Sus scrofa: one gene and its partner. The protein of the gene in region 1 interacts with the protein of each later gene in a biochemical or structural test. Links are inferred from orthologs where the notes say so. Each region holds a gene or a part of one and is shown on either strand. Other genes may lie near its edges. The genes, in order: USP5 and CACNA1H.

Region 1 (7,654 bases):
GGAGTCACAGTGTAATAAAAGCCATCAGGCCAGGGGTCAGAAGACCTGGATTCCAGTCCTAGATCTTTTCACAATGAGCCACAGTCCAGGAAGGGGCCACAGATGATTCTATGCTTCCATGGGGCTCAACTTAGCTAGGAGGTCAAGTTAATTCTGCAGTTCACCAAGTGGTCAGGGGCCTGAAGACCCATGAGAACTCATTATTTTGAGATTATCAAAATGAGGAGATTATCAAAAATGACTCATCAGAAACAAATCTGACTAGTATCCATGAGGACGCAGGTTGGATCCCTGGCCTTGCCCAGTGGGTTAAGGACCCAGTGTGGCTGTAACATGTGGTGTAGGTCGCAGACATGGCTTGGATCCGGAGTGGCTGTGGCTGTGGTGTAGGCTGGCAGCTACAGATCCGATTCGACCCCTAGCCTGGGAACCTCCATGTGCCTCGGGTACAGCCCTAAAAAGATAAAAAAAAAAAAAAAAAAAAAAGATTATCAAAATGAAACCATCCTGCCAATTAGAAAACACAAAACTAGGAACATCACTTCTGGCTGTAAATTGTAACTATAAAATCAGAGAAGCCTTGATACTTTTAGTCGGTGCTTTTCACGGTGCTAGACACATTTCGAAAGCAGCTAAGATAATGTTTCTACTTTGAGAGAGTTGGAGAAGCACCAGTTCACAGCTTAAGGCCCCTTCTTTTTCTTAGCACTTTCTGCTTAACCTCCCTTGCTCGTCCCAGCCACCATACCCAGTTTCTTGGGCACCCAGTCTAAGCCGAAGGTGAACTTCTTGATCTGGATGACCAGGTAGTCGGGGAATGAGGCAAATCGTGTGGTCCTAGGGAAGAGAGAACATACAGGTACCCAGGGAGCCTCTCCGAAAGCTCCACGCTGGGTTCAGCCTCTCATGGATAGAGACCTGGGCTGTTAAAAAAGCCCAGAAGACACTCCATGCTTTCTTGCCCTGGGCAGGCATCAGGGCACCTGCGGATAAGGAGCAACAGAAGCTGGAGGCGGGCTGCCTGATGGGCCAGAGCAGCCAAGGGGCAGGTGGCTGGAATCCCCAAGACCAAAGCACTCTTTCAGATCTCAGGTTCATGCCAGTGATGAGGTAGCAAAAAGGCAGGCCATGTGCTGGAAATCTCAGTTCCGTCCACAACTGTTACTAATTTCTGTGCTTGGTCTGGAGTGGGGGACAGAGCAGAGAGAGGCTGCAATGGAAAGTGACCCCGGCCCATGAGAGAAGAGGGACTGGCGGGGGCAGGACAAGGTAAGGTAGCAATTTCCTGACCCCGCTCCTGTTGGAGCCTCTGGGTTCCCTCAGGACCAGGGTACCAGCCTCAAGTGATAGAAGCCTGAGATTTGGACCACAACGGGAGAGGATGCGACGCTGACAGCATCTTTGGGATGACGCTGCCGCAGGCCGGCACCCACAGGACTTACTTGACGGCCACGGACTTGGCCTGCAGGGCAGTGCTCCAGAAGTCATCCACCTGCTCAGGGGCCCCATAGGCCTCCAGGCAGGAGCTGAAGGGCACCTGTGCCCGAACCAGTTCTGGCAGTGGCAGCTTCTCCTCCTCGGCTTGCCGCTTCTTCTCTTCATACTCCAGGAGCTCCTCTGGTGATGGAAGGGGTGGGTGGGTCCTTCTGGGTGGGCAGGAGCTGCTGCTTTCCCTCCTCAGTCTTGCTCTACTGGCTCGGGGTCCGTGACCATCTCGGCTCCTCTGCCTCCCCAAGCCCACCTGATACACATCCTCCTGCCTCTTTCCCAACAAAGCTCTGCTGACTGGCTGCAAGCAAGGGTGATCCCAGCTCGGCCCACAGGCCCCGCTGGGCAGGTCTGGCTGGGGACAGAGCTAACCTTGGGCTCTGCTCCTGTAAGGTGCCCAGGCCCCGCCCCAGAGCTCAGACTCCAGGTGCCCCCAGGTCCCCGCCGGGAGAGCAGAGGGCCACCTTACCTTTGTTCAGGGCCGCGTCCATGGGCACAGGCAGCTGCATGATATAGTCCACGCGCTGGGTGTACTTGACCTTCTCTGTGGCCAGGCACTTGATCTTCTCCTCCACCAGGAAGCGGAACACCTCGTTGGGATTTTCAGAGCTCCGGCAATTCCTCTACGGGAAAGAGGCAAGGTGGCGGGGGGGGGCAGGGGGCGGTCTGGGCAGTCAGGCCCTGGCATGGGGGCCCCCAGAAGTCACTGTGGGGGGCGGTCAGGGAGGAAGGGAAGTAGAAAGGAGACGACCACGAAGAGGCAGAGGGATGCAGGAGCAGAGCAGCAGCTTCCCCTATTCAACCTCCCGCCCCCCCCAAGTGGCCGCCCATCCCACAGCGTGGGCCTGCGTGGGCAAGAGCCTCTCCTTTCTTTCTGAGCACCAAGCACCAGCCTATCATTTCCTTTGCATGCATCCTTCCTGAGGCTGCAAGCCCATCAAGCAAAAGATCGCTACTCTGCTGTCCTCAGGTACAGGGACGGCGCAGGGCCGGAAGGCTCTGGGGTCCCGGGGATGGGACGGGGGTGGGGCCCACAGAGGAAAGACAGGGGGAAGTGCAGGCGCAGAGAAGGAGTGTGACGAGTGGCCCCCTTGCCATCCTCACCTCCACCATGTTGATAAGGTGAAGGAAGAACTCTTGGGCATCCTGCTGCCGGTTGGTGGAGAACTCGGGGTGACCCTTGCTGATGAGGGCCTTGAACATCCGAGGGGCAATGCCATCTTGGACTTCCTAGGCAGAGCCAGGGCATCGATTCAGCGGGGGCCCAAGAAGCCACCAAGTGGCCTTTATACAGCTCCCAGGCCTCGGTTTCCCCATAACTCCAGAGTCTGAAAAGGGACAGAGGCCCAGACACACCTTTTGCTCTGGCACCTGCTCGCCGTCGCCCGACTCTGGCGCTGGCTTGGAATACTCTCCCGAGAGAAGGCCATGGCCCAGCTTGGCCCTGGATTAACAGTCAAGAGAACAATGTGGCTTCTGTCAATTAAGGATTGCCTGATACCAAATCTACCTCTTCGCCCGACTTGATCCCTGCCCAAAGCCCTCCTCCGACAACTCTCCAAAACGTGAAAAAACAGGAGTTCCCATTGTGGCGCAGCAGAGATGAATCCAACCAGTATCCATGAGGAATGGGGGATTGATCCCTAGTCTTGCTTAGCGGGTCGGGAATCTGGCATTGCCGTGAGCTACGGTGTAGGTTGCAGACACGGCTCAGATCTGGTGTTGGCTGTGGCTGTGGTGAAGGCTGGCAGCTGCAGCTCCAGTTCATCTCCTAGCCTGGAAACTTCCATATGCCATGGATGCAGCTCTAAAAAACAGAAACTTCAAAAAGAAAAAATAAATATGAAAAAACTTAGGTTCCTCAGGACCCCAACCCAAAGCAGACAGCGTGCCCAGAAGGCAACCATTTGAAAGCTTCTAGCCGGCCAGGGACTAAACTACTGCCCACTCCAGGGGGTCATGGAGGAGAAAGAAGGTACACAACTGGCTACATACACCTGGGTGCTGAAGTCCTGGGTAGGGTCCGTCGGAGCATTCTGGAAGATCTTTTCCAGCTTATCCACATACCTAAGAGCCAAAGGAAAGACTGCTGGAGGGGCTTGGGCTCAGGCAGGCCCAGAGAAAAGCGAAAGGGAGCCATTATCTACTAGCTCAGAGAACAAGCCCCCTCCGGAACAGAAGGGTACATGGTTGCACCTGAGCGTCCATTTCTTTCCAGCAACCCGTGCTTCCCCCCTCTTCCCAACTGGGTCGGCATGCAACATAGCTCAGCTTCCTCCCCAGCAGAGCCCAGAGATGGGAGAAAGCCACCTCGGAGGAGAGATGTGGTTCATATTCCACTGAACACAACTTGTTCGTACATTCGAAGCTCTCACATACACACCGGGCCTTGGCAAGTAGACAGGAAACTCGCTGAGGCTAAGCATTTGCCTTTCTTCTATCTTTGGGTCTCAAGCCCTCCCCTCTCCCCAAAGGCTCCATGTCCGTGTGAGGTGCTCATCTGATGTCACTGGCTAAGATCAAGACCATTTGCTGGCCCTAAGTCAGTCAGGAGACCTAGGAGAGCCCTGGCGGGGGGTGGGGGGGGGTGTGTGCACCCGGCCCCACCAGTGTGTGTGTCACCAGGTGACGGTGGTGTGGTCCTGTGACCTGCTCCCCTCACCGTGCACCAGGAATAAGACTGAGCTGGCACCGAGGTCCGGAGAGGAGCCGGGGGGCTGGGGGCGCAGAGCCAGGGAGAGCGCAGCACTCACTTCCTCTGGAAGTCGGGGATGCTGAAGAGCACCTGGACCACGGAGTTGAGGTAGCAGCTGTTGCCCAGGTTGCGGATGCCCGTGTAGCCAGGCCCGAACAGGGGCTTGAGCGGCACCCCTGACTCCTGGATCAGCTCCCACTCGCCGATGCGCTGGTTCATGTCTATCTCCAGCTCCGTCATCGTCTTGTCCGTCTGCAGGGCAAGGGAGCTTCAGATGGGCTGAGAGAGAAGCAGCCTTTATGCTGACCTCTCGCGGGGTCTAGGATGAGGGCCAGCTGGAGGCTGGAATTTGCTGAATTATGGACTCCACCATGGGCGGCCCACTGGCTCTCCTCCAGGGCGAGTTCCAGAAGGCCACAGGCAACCGTCCCGGGGCCCTCAGGCCTCAGGCTCAATGAGGGGATGAAATGAACACGACTCCCTCTAGCGGAAGTGTTTCTCCATCCTGAAGTCGCCCCCTCACCCCCAGATCTCCACCCAAGCGTCACTTCCTCAGGGCCACTTTCTCAATCCCCTGGACTAGGGGGCCCCTCCTGTAAATGCCTGTGGCACCTCCACAGTGGGCGGTCATTCATTTCTCTGCATGAGTCTGTGAGCCACGCCTGCCTCTCTTCTGGAACGTAAGCCTGTCTGGGTCACGGTGACTAGCACCCAAGAGATGTTCAGCAGTATTCAGTGAAGGATTAGGTGGTTCTAGAAAGTTCTGCACAGGAAGCCCACATATCCTGGAGACCAGGATCACTGGGGCATCTCCCCCGGCGGGCCGCCTCAGCCTCCAGGGAGGGAAGTGGGGCCTCACCTTCTGCATCTTCAGCATGTCGATACCGAAGTGGGACAGGTGCTCGGCCAGGTTGGGGTCCAGGACCATGTCATCCTCGTCATATGAATACACGTCTAGCACAAGAGGCAGAAACGGTGTCACAGGGGGTGGCTCTGGCCTGGCCTGGCCACCAACCAGCCCTCCTAGGTCCCCTGGTGAAACAGAAGGACGGGCTAGGAGGCTGACCCTCCTGGCTCCCTGGAGCATCAGTGAGGCCGCAAGCCCTCCTGGGATGGGCGGTCAAGGTTGATGGGATGAAACAGGCTGAGGGTTGGAAAAAACCCCACACCACAGAAGAAGGTTCTAGACTGAGATGGGTTTGGAAGGACAGCCACTAAAAGATAATGATGGGAACCGCCCGGAAGGGGGCTGGGATTTGGGTGTGTCTAGGGGGTTAATTAAAATTGAAGATTTGCTCCCACCTGCAATACTTCCTTGCTTTTTTTTTTCTCTTTTCTTTTGGTTTTTTTTAGGGCTGCACCCGAAGCATATGGAAGTTCCCAGGCTAAGGGTCGAACTGGAGCTGTAGCTGCTGGCCTACACCAGCAACCCACTGAGCGAGGCCAGGGATCAAACCCACATCCTTATGGATACTCGTTGGGTTCATTATCACTGAACCACAACGGGAACTCCTGCAGTACTTTCCCCGTATTTTTTTCCCCCCATTTTTGGCAACCCTGAGCCACATGGAGCCCCTGGGCCAGGAGTCAGATCCAAGCTGCAGTAGTGACCTAAGCTGCAACTGCGGCAACGGTGGATCTTTAACCTTGGTCGCCTGGCTGGGGATTGAACCCATGGCTGAGGGCTCCGGAGGGGCCACCAATCCCATTGTGCCACAGCTGGAGCTCCTGCAGTAGTTTTACTATTGATCGAGAGGACGAACGAACTCATGTCTTACTCGTGTCCTACGACATGAGTAACAGTCAAGACCCAGCGGTTTCTGCGGGGAGGTGGCGGGCGGGCGGGGGCGGGGAGTACCAGCGCCGTCAGGTGTGATGGTGCCCAGCTTGACGGCTAATGGGTAGCCCGTCTCCTTGAAGTGCTCCACTGCGTGGTTGTTGCCCCCGCTGCCATCGAAGTAGCGCCGGCCACAGAGGATGGAGCCGTCTGTCAGGTTGAGCCACAGGTTCTCCCGCATGTCACACTTGGAACACTTCCAGCCACTGGTCGGGGAGAAGAAAAGTAGCTGAGTTGCACGTCGGGGCGGGGGGGGGGGAAGGGGGGGTCATGAGAGCGGAGGACAGAGGGGACTCTGTGCACCACCCGCCAGTCCAAGACCCTGCTCTTCGTCTCTCCTCCGGATGCCCCTGGCTGAGTTCAGCTCCCCAAAGTCCCCCTTCTGAGTCTGCTCCCGACCCTCTCTCCCACCAGACCCCAGGAGGGTGGCCTCTTTGCCCCTGCTCTAGGGGTTGCGCCCCGAGGTGGAGGGGCCAGGCCTCACCAGGGAGGGATTCGAGCAGGGTTGTCCAGCTGCTTGAGGTTGAAGGCATGCCTAGACACCTGCCGTACCTCCCCATCCCAGGCCTGCACCTCCTGCTTGCGGGAGGCCGAGTCAGCCGACAGCAGGGCCTCCACTGCACTGGTCACCTGGGGGAAGCAGAGGATCAGAGACCAGGACCCAGCCCCAGGCCCCACATGCCCCTCCAGTGCCATGGACTTCAGCTTTCTCTGTGCTTGCCCAAGACAGCGCTGCTCTGGTCCCGCCTGCCCTAGAATCTTCGGGGGGCGGGGGTGGGGGGGAAAGATATTTGTACCCGATCTCTGACGATGTCAGGCAGTCCCCCCAGCCCGTCCCGGGCGATCTCCAGGTAATCTGGCAAAATGACGATTTTTACATCCTCATCATAGTCAAACTTCTTCTCGCTGAGGTCAAACCCGCCTTCGATCCCTGGTGAGACAGAGAAGAGGGAGGGTAGGACGCCCCCACAAGTCGATGCCCCCTCCTTGGCCTTGTCCCCTGCAGAGCTCCAGGGCCCCTGACCAGGCCCATTCTCTGGGGGCTTTCCTGGCAGCTCTGAGAGTGGGCAAGACCAGCTCAGGGAGAAGAATAGGGCAGCGTGATGCTCACCGATAGCCAGCCGGGTGGGCTTCTTCCGGGGCGGGTCTCCAGTGCCTGCGGTCGTGTCTTCCTCTTTCTGCAGTGAGGCAGGAAGGGCAGGATCAGCCGTGGGCACCGGGGAAGAGACAAATGAGGGGGGCGGACAGGATGGAGTGGGTTCATCTCGGAAGAGAAACGAGCTACAAAAGCACCCGTGCTGAGTTGTAAGGACCCCAGCAGAAATAGGTGAGTCCAGGGGAGGTCAGCATGGAAGAGACAGATGCAATGTGGGGGCCCAGTGGGATGGGCCTCGAGGTCCCCGGGGCCTTGCCCCAGCCCGTGTCCCTACCGGGCGCCGGGTCCGCCGGAGGTGTAGGTAGACTCGCTGGCCTGTCTTGTTGAAGTGTCTCTCCACATACTGTTTGCTGAAGCCCAGGAATGTGTTCATGCAGATGTAGAGGCCACCCTCAGACTCCTGCAGGGCAAGAGGCAGGGGAGGAAATAGGCAGGATGAAGCCTGGCCGGGAAACACCAAGACCTGGGGTCAGACACT
Region 2 (7,002 bases), on another chromosome or scaffold:
CCGCACCCAGGGCTCCAGTGTTGGCCATGGCTGCTCCCATTGGGAGCTGCTTCAGGCCCTGTGTGCTCACGTCCCGTGCCCCCCCGTCACCACCACTTTCAGCCTTTGTGGCTCCTCAAGTGACTCATTGCCCCACCTGTGCAGTATCCAGCTCCCCGCCAGTCCACCCAGCAGCCCGGCCCTGTGTCCACCTGTCCGTGGAGCTAACCCTCGGCCAGCCATGTGCCCACCCAGCCACCCTCGCAGTTGTCTGTCCACCCATCCACCACGTGTCTGTCCCCACGTGTCTGTCCATCCTCCATCCAGCCCTCCTGGCCAGCTGTCTATCCACCAGCTCAGCATGTTTCTGTCCGCCCGGCTGCCTCCCACTCAGCCCCAGGCTCTGTGTCCTCCATCTCCAGCCTTCCCTCTGGGCCCCAGCCCTGAGCTGCATTCCTGACACTTTGTCCTACCTGCCCAGTGTCAGAGGGGGAGGTGGGGTAGGGGAGGGTGGGAAACCAGCTGGCCATGCTCCAGTGAGATGCCTCTGGCGGTCTGAGCAGGTGCTGGGGAAGAGGGGGAGCGGCCAGTTCAGGGCCCCAGGAGGTGTGTGTGAAGATGGGGCGCCCCACCCTGGGGTGAGCCTGAGCAGTGCTGGGAGGCTAGGCAGGAGTTGGCAGGAGAACCTCAGCAGGGGCCAGGCCAGGCCTCGCTCAGGCTGCAGAGCGTGCACCTTCGCCCCGCCATGGGCATCCCTGAGGCTGGAGGCGGGCCCTGCCTGGAGCCTACCGGAGCCCCCAGGAGGCCTCCCAGGCCCTGGGCAGTGGAGGAGCTGTAGTCCTGGGCGCAGGAGGGCATGAGGAGCTAAAGAGGGGCAGAGGGCCGCAGAGGGGCCTTGGGCACCAGGCAGGACACGGAGTCCTGGGGGCCACGGGAGCTCCAAGGCCAGGAGGGACGGGTTGGACCCCCTTGCTGGGCTGGAACGTGGGTGCCAGGGGGCTGAGGCCTCTGACCTCGTTCTGCTTCTCTCCTCGTGTAGGTAGGGAACCTGGGTCTGCTTTTCATGCTCCTGTTTTTTATCTATGCTGCCCTGGGCGTGGAGCTGTTTGGGAGGCTTGGTGAGTGCTGCTGCCCCGCCCCCTGGACCCTGGGTCCTGGAAGGTGCAGCTTCCCGCATGCTCACCTGGCCCCAGGACAGTTCAGGCTCTGTCTTTGACTGAGGTGACCACATAGGAGGCACACGCAAAAGCCTGGTGCCAGAATGTGACACACACACGTGTTGGTGGCAGGCCAGGAGGACAGCATGTGCGCACACGCAGGTGTTGACCTGAGCTCCACCTGGCCCCAGGGGATATGCTGCCGCAAGTTCGAATTGTCCCCAGGATTTCCCTGGACCCCCCAGCCTGAGTCTCTGGCCAGTCTGTGCAGCTCTTCCGTGGCAGCCCCCTCCCTTCCCGCTCAGTGTCACTAAAGGCTTAGTGGCTTCCGGCACGCCTACCTGTGCAGTGTTCAGGTGCTGGTCATGGTTTAGGGTCTGCCCTAAACTGGACTGGGCAGCTGGTGTGCCAGACCCTGGGCCTGATGACTGCCGCCCCTGGCCCAGGGCAGCTCGAGCCCGAAGGCATGCTGACCCCAAAGCTGGGCCTGGGGAGCAGAAAGAGCTGTCCACTGGGCTGAGCCAGAGCCCAGCCCTGGGGAAGGGCAGGACCCAGGTGTGCACTGGCCCCAGCCGGGTGCTGACCGGGTCCCTTCTGGCAGAGTGCAGTGAGGACAACCCCTGTGAGGGCCTGAGCAGGCACGCCACCTTCTCCAACTTCGGCATGGCCTTCCTCACGCTGTTCCGCGTGTCCACCGGGGACAACTGGAACGGGATCATGAAGGCACGGCCGCGGGGGGCGGGGCCCGGGGCGGAGGGGGCGGGACGGGGGGGCGGGCCCGGGACGGCGATGGGTGGGTGGGGCGATGGGGCGGGGCAGGCGGGCGGGACCAGGGCGGCGGGGGGCGGGGCGGAGGGGCGGGCGTCTAGGGGCAGGGGCGGCCTTTCGGACTGAGGTGGAGGCTGCCCTCCGCTGCAGGACACGCTGCGGGAGTGCGCCCGTGAGGACAAGCACTGCCTCAGCTACCTGCCGGCCATCTCGCCCATCTACTTCGTCACGTTTGTGCTGGTGGCCCAGTTCGTGCTGGTCAACGTGGTAGTGGCCGTGCTCATGAAGCACCTTGAGGAGAGCAACAAGGAAGCCCGTGAGGATGCCGAGCTGGACGCCGAGCTCGAGCTGGAGCTGGCGCAGAGGCCGCCCGCCCGCCCCAGTCCCGCGGCCCCGCAGAGCCCGGGCGCGGGGCCGGACCCCTCCAACCTGCTGGTCGTGCGCAAGGTGTCCGTGTCCAGAATGCTGTCGCTGCCCAACGACAGCTACATGTTCCGGCCGGTGGCGCCCGCTGCGGCCGCTCACCCCCACCCGCCGCAGGACGTGGAAATGGAGAGCTACGCGGGCGCCTCAGGTAAGGCCCCTGGCGGCGGGCAGATGTGGGCAGGCAGGGCAGCCGGAGGGGTCGGATGCCCATTTCAGGCCCCTCCTGCCCCAGGCCTGGTCACCTCCATCCACTCGCCACCCGCGGAATCCTGCACCTCCCTCCAGGTCCCGTCGGCTGCATCCTCCCCTGCAAGGGGTGCAGGTCACTCCCCAAGTCTCAGCCGGCTGCTCTGCAGACAGGTAGGAGAACCCCCCCCCCCCCGGTTCTCAGCTGAGGCTGGGGGCCCCATGGCTCTCCCCGGCTTTTGAAGGATGAGCAACAGGGACGCTGGGAATATTGGTGGGTTACCCAGAGCCCATGACGACGGCATTTGGCATCCCCAGGCATCCCCAGCAACGGTTCCGGCCAGCCTCGCCTGTACCCACACCACCCCCGCCTGAGGCTTCGGCCTCTTTCCCCTTCTCCTGCCTCTGCGTGCCTCAGTGGGCTGGTGTTGCATGGGGTCAGGTGGTGGCCGAGTCCTCCATGGCAGGTTCCAGAGCAGGGTCTCCAGGGCCCTGTGGCAGGTTCTGCCCACAGGAGGTCAGGCCCCAGCTCTCTGCTCCTCATGGCTTCTCTCCAGTGTGACCAACCCTGGCCATGTGCCCCCATACCAGCATCTCGCAGTCCTGTCTCAGCCTTGGGGTCAGGAGCCCATCCTAGATCAGGGTAGGAACGGGGTCCCTGTGTCCTGGCTGCTGCTTGGGCTCACCTGACCCGTGTCTTTGCAGGAGGCCCTGGCCACCCAGTCCCTGGAGGGGCAGGTTGGCAGCCCCGGGGACAGCAGTCCCAGTTGGGGAGAGCCTGGCAGGAAGACCCCCGGGAGGCAGGCGACCCTGGGGGCCTCCGTGTGCTCCCCACCCCGTTCCCCACGGCCCGCCAGTGTCCGCATCCGCAAGCACACTTTTGGGCAGCACTGCATCTCCAGCCGGCCACCAGCCCCAGGCAGGGAGGAGGCTGAGGCCCCGGACCCGGCCGACGAGGAGGTCAGCCACATCACCAGCTCCGCCCGCGGCCCCGTGGCCTCGCCTGCGGCCTGCGAGCCAGACTTGCACCGGCTCTACAGTGTCGATGCCCAGGGCTTCCTGGACCAGCCGGGCCAGGCGGACGAGCAGAGGCGGCCCTCGGTGGAGCAGGGCTGCGGGGATGGCCTCCCAGAGGCGGGGGTGGTGAAGGCTCGGGCCCCGGAGGCTGAGCTGGCCCTGGGCGCACGCAGGAAGAAGAAGATGAGCCCGCCCTGCATCTCTGTTGAGCCCCCCGCAGAGGACGAGGGCACAGCCCGGCCCCCTGTGGCTGAGGGCAGCAGCACCACCCTCCGGCGAAGAACCCCGTCCTGCGAGGCCGCGCCGCACAGGGACCCCCTGGAGCCCCTGGACAGTGCAGGGCTGGACGCTGCCGCCAAGGGGGAGCGGCGGGGCCAGGCCCCCTGCCGCACAGACCACCTGACCGTCCCGAGCTTTGCCTTTGAGCCACTGGACATGGGGGCTCCTGGTGGGGACCCGTTGTCAGATGGCAGCCATGGGGTCACCCCAGAACCCAGACCCTGTCCTGGTGCCATGGTGCCTCCCGAACCCCAGCAGATGGAGCCCTCAGTGCTCTCGGGAGACCCCCCAGAGGAGGGGGAGAGGCTGCACCTCACAGTCCCGCAGAGCCCCCTGAAGAAAGGGCCCCCCCCAGCCCCCGCTCCAGGCGACGGTGTAGACAAGCCCGTGTAGCTCGGAGTGCAGCGCCCACAGGCCTTGGCACTGGGGTGAGGTGCGCCCAGCGGGGTGGCAGCACCAAGTGGGGCTGTGCGTGGGCCCCAGCTCAGGCCCCCCCGCAGGCAGAGGAGCCGGGAGGACGTCGGCCCAGGGAGACGGGGGCAGATGCTACCCTGGGCGAAGCCTCCATCCCGCGGTTCAGGTTTGGGATTTTCCGAGGTGACCGCCGCGGTCCGAGGCCGTGCCAGGGGCCCGGTCAGCAGTCCGGTAACAAAGCTGCATCCGAGGGACAAGGACCAGAAAATGAGCAGAGGAGGCAGGAGGTCACCCGGTAGAGCCCTACCCTCACATCCACTAAGTTTTTTAGGGAACACGCTTGGGGCCACGTGTGCCCTCTGGGTGGCGGCTCCGTCCCCAAGGCCACAGAGGCCACGCTTCACGTCGCTCACAGTCTGAATTCTCCTCGTCTGTCTCCACCTCCTCTTGTTGCCTCATCTCCCCCCACCCCCCACCGCTCTGCCCCCGTCGGCGTCCCAGACAACGACCCTGACTCTGGTCCCTGGGCCATGGCCAGGCACCAGGGACCAGGCAATAAGACCCCCCCGTGGCCTTTGGGCCTGGGCCGAGAGTTTCAGCGGATGCCCCTGTTTCATGTCATTTCTTTTATAAATTCAGGTGAAATGTTGCAATAATCTGATGTAGAAAATGTGGCTTCTCAAGTCAAGGGGAGGAGAGGGGGCAAAACAGAGCCGAATAAATATTAACTTATTTAAGAAACGTGTTGGATTTCCAGCATCCGACTCGGTCCCCCGCACGGGAGGGCAGCAAGTCTGAGGCGTTGGCGAGGGTTGAGCTGGTGATGGCACCACCACTGCCAGGGCCGAGGGGCTCCACAGAGCCCACCCCCTCCTGCCTGTGCATCCCTGGCTGGGGCGGGTGGCAGGTGGGAAGCCTGCCTCCCATGGCAGCTGGAACCACATGGCATCATTCATGTGCTAGAGAAATGAGGTCTGATCCCACACAGGAAGGAGTTTCTGCCCAGGCTCCCGGGAGGGATGGGAGCCCGCGGAGCAGGGGACAGACTCCCCACCAGGAGAGTGGGCAGCCACCTGGGGCGCCCCCTCCCCATCTCCCTCCCTGAAACCTCTGAGCCTACACCCTCCTCGCATCCTGCTGGCCTCTGCCCCCAGCCCCATTGCACAGACGCCCGGCTCCTTCCTTGTGAGAACAGGTGCAGAAGGGGGCCAGGTCAGAATGAACTTGTTCTTGACCATGGATGGTGGCTGTGGCCTTGGGGGGGTGCTGCACGCACAACAGAGCTGGCTCCAGGATAGGGTCCAGGCCCTTCCCTCCACACAGCAAACAGGCCACCCAACCCACCCCACCCACCTCCAGGCTGATCTAGGTGATGGGAGGGGCTGTCGAGGGCTCTACCTGGCTGAGGCCTGGGCCTGTTTGCTCTGAGCTGGGTGGGCAGCAAGTCCCCAGCTTGGGAGCCTGGGGGCTGCAGCCAGCCCTTCCCCAGCGCTTCTTGGCAGGTGTGGAATGGGGTGCCAGCGCCCCCTCTGGTGGTTATGTGGGGAACTGCGGGACTCCAGAGTCCCAGGTGGCTCTGCCAGATGGGTGTGGGGAGCCCAACTGGACCTGCTGGAGCCCTGGGTCTGCAGGCCCTCCTGCCTGTGACCTTGGCCTCAGTTCTCACAGGGAGAAAACGCTGAGCTGGGCTGGACCCAAGGCTGCTATACTGGTTCTTCCTGCAGACCCAGACTCTGGGCTGCGCCCTCCCTGCCAGGGAGGGGTCATGGGTCTAGGGTCAGAGGGCAGGAGAGCCCGGATGTGGGCCCGCCAGGGTGGCCGCAACCTTCACGCAGCTCACCACACCGGTTGTCAGACCAGAGGCCCTCCGGGTCGTCCTGGGGGCAGAGCGGAGTGAGGACCAGGATGCCAGAGAGCCGGGAGCCCCCATCCTCCGCCTCGCCCACCTGGGCACACCTGGTAGGCATCCCTGGGGCAATTACGGCTACTCCTAGGCCGAGTGGTCCTGCCTGCAGGTCTGCCGGAGGACGGGTCTTGGGTGGGGAACAGGTTGCAGGGAAATAGGGGGACCTGGGGGTGGGCGTCTGTGTTCTGGCTGCGACTTCACTGCGGGGAACCTGGTGCCTCTAGAACCTCTGAATGGTCCATGAACCTTTATCTCTCCCCAAAGCACGATGCCACGCACTGAAAATAAACACAAGCCAGTGCGCTGAAGAGCCGGCCCTGAACACCAGGGGCAGGGCTGGGCCAACCCCACCACAACGCCGGGTGCTCAGGGGTGGGGACCCACCCTGATGGCGGAGGCACCCACTGGCCCTGGACCCCCTCCGTCTCCCTCAGTGACACACGAAACCAGAGACACAGTGACAGCCACCTCTGCTTTCCATGCTCTTTAATGAGTGATCGTGCTGACGGCCCGCTCCCTGGGACGAGACGTGTGGGGGCTCAGGGCAAGGGGGGGGGCTCAGGGCAGGGGGCACTCGGTGGGAGGGGGACTCAGGGTGGGGGGCCAGGCACGGTGCAGGAGGAGCCACCTCGGCAGGAAGCAGTGGTGTGGGGGCAGGAGGTGACTGGCTTTGCAGACCCAGGGACCAGGCTCAGGACTCCCTGGGGATACACTGGTGGATCCAGTCCAAGTAGTGGGTGACGCGGGTGTAGATGCCAGGCCGGTTGGGCAGAGCGCAGCCCTCGCCCCAGCTGACCACGCCCGCCTGCAGCCAGGTGCCATTCACCCTGCAGACCAGGGGCCCCCCGGAGTCACCCTGCGGAGAGGAGG

What was found.
Region 2: the proteins of USP5 (region 1) and CACNA1H form a complex in vitro, tested with the Homo sapiens proteins (2 studies listed by BioGRID, with this or other methods). The link is inferred for Sus scrofa from reciprocal best matches to the Homo sapiens genes USP5 and CACNA1H.

The regions. Positions count from the first base shown.
Region 1 is NC_010447.5:63,847,341-63,854,994, forward strand, and holds part of USP5 (ubiquitin carboxyl-terminal hydrolase 5), read right to left. Parts: intron 7,577-7,654; coding exon 7,451-7,576; intron 7,199-7,450; coding exon 7,132-7,198; intron 6,952-7,131; coding exon 6,818-6,951; intron 6,651-6,817; coding exon 6,505-6,650; intron 6,227-6,504; coding exon 6,042-6,226; intron 5,138-6,041; coding exon 5,043-5,137; intron 4,436-5,042; coding exon 4,242-4,435; intron 3,556-4,241; coding exon 3,484-3,555; intron 2,933-3,483; coding exon 2,845-2,932; intron 2,719-2,844; coding exon 2,593-2,718; intron 2,112-2,592; coding exon 1,958-2,111; intron 1,618-1,957; coding exon 1,443-1,617; intron 838-1,442; coding exon 749-837; intron 1-748. UniProt on the Homo sapiens protein: Deubiquitinating enzyme that participates in a wide range of cellular processes by specifically cleaving isopeptide bonds between ubiquitin and substrate proteins or ubiquitin itself.
Region 2 is NC_010445.4:40,635,385-40,642,386, reverse strand, and holds the end of CACNA1H (voltage-dependent T-type calcium channel subunit alpha-1H), read left to right. Parts: intron 1-1,018; coding exon 1,019-1,097; intron 1,098-1,737; coding exon 1,738-1,859; intron 1,860-2,054; coding exon 2,055-2,478; intron 2,479-2,562; coding exon 2,563-2,690; intron 2,691-3,221; coding exon 3,222-4,205; 3' UTR 4,206-4,967; downstream 4,968-7,002. Other genes in the region: tryptase-like, read right to left, coding at 6,824-6,988.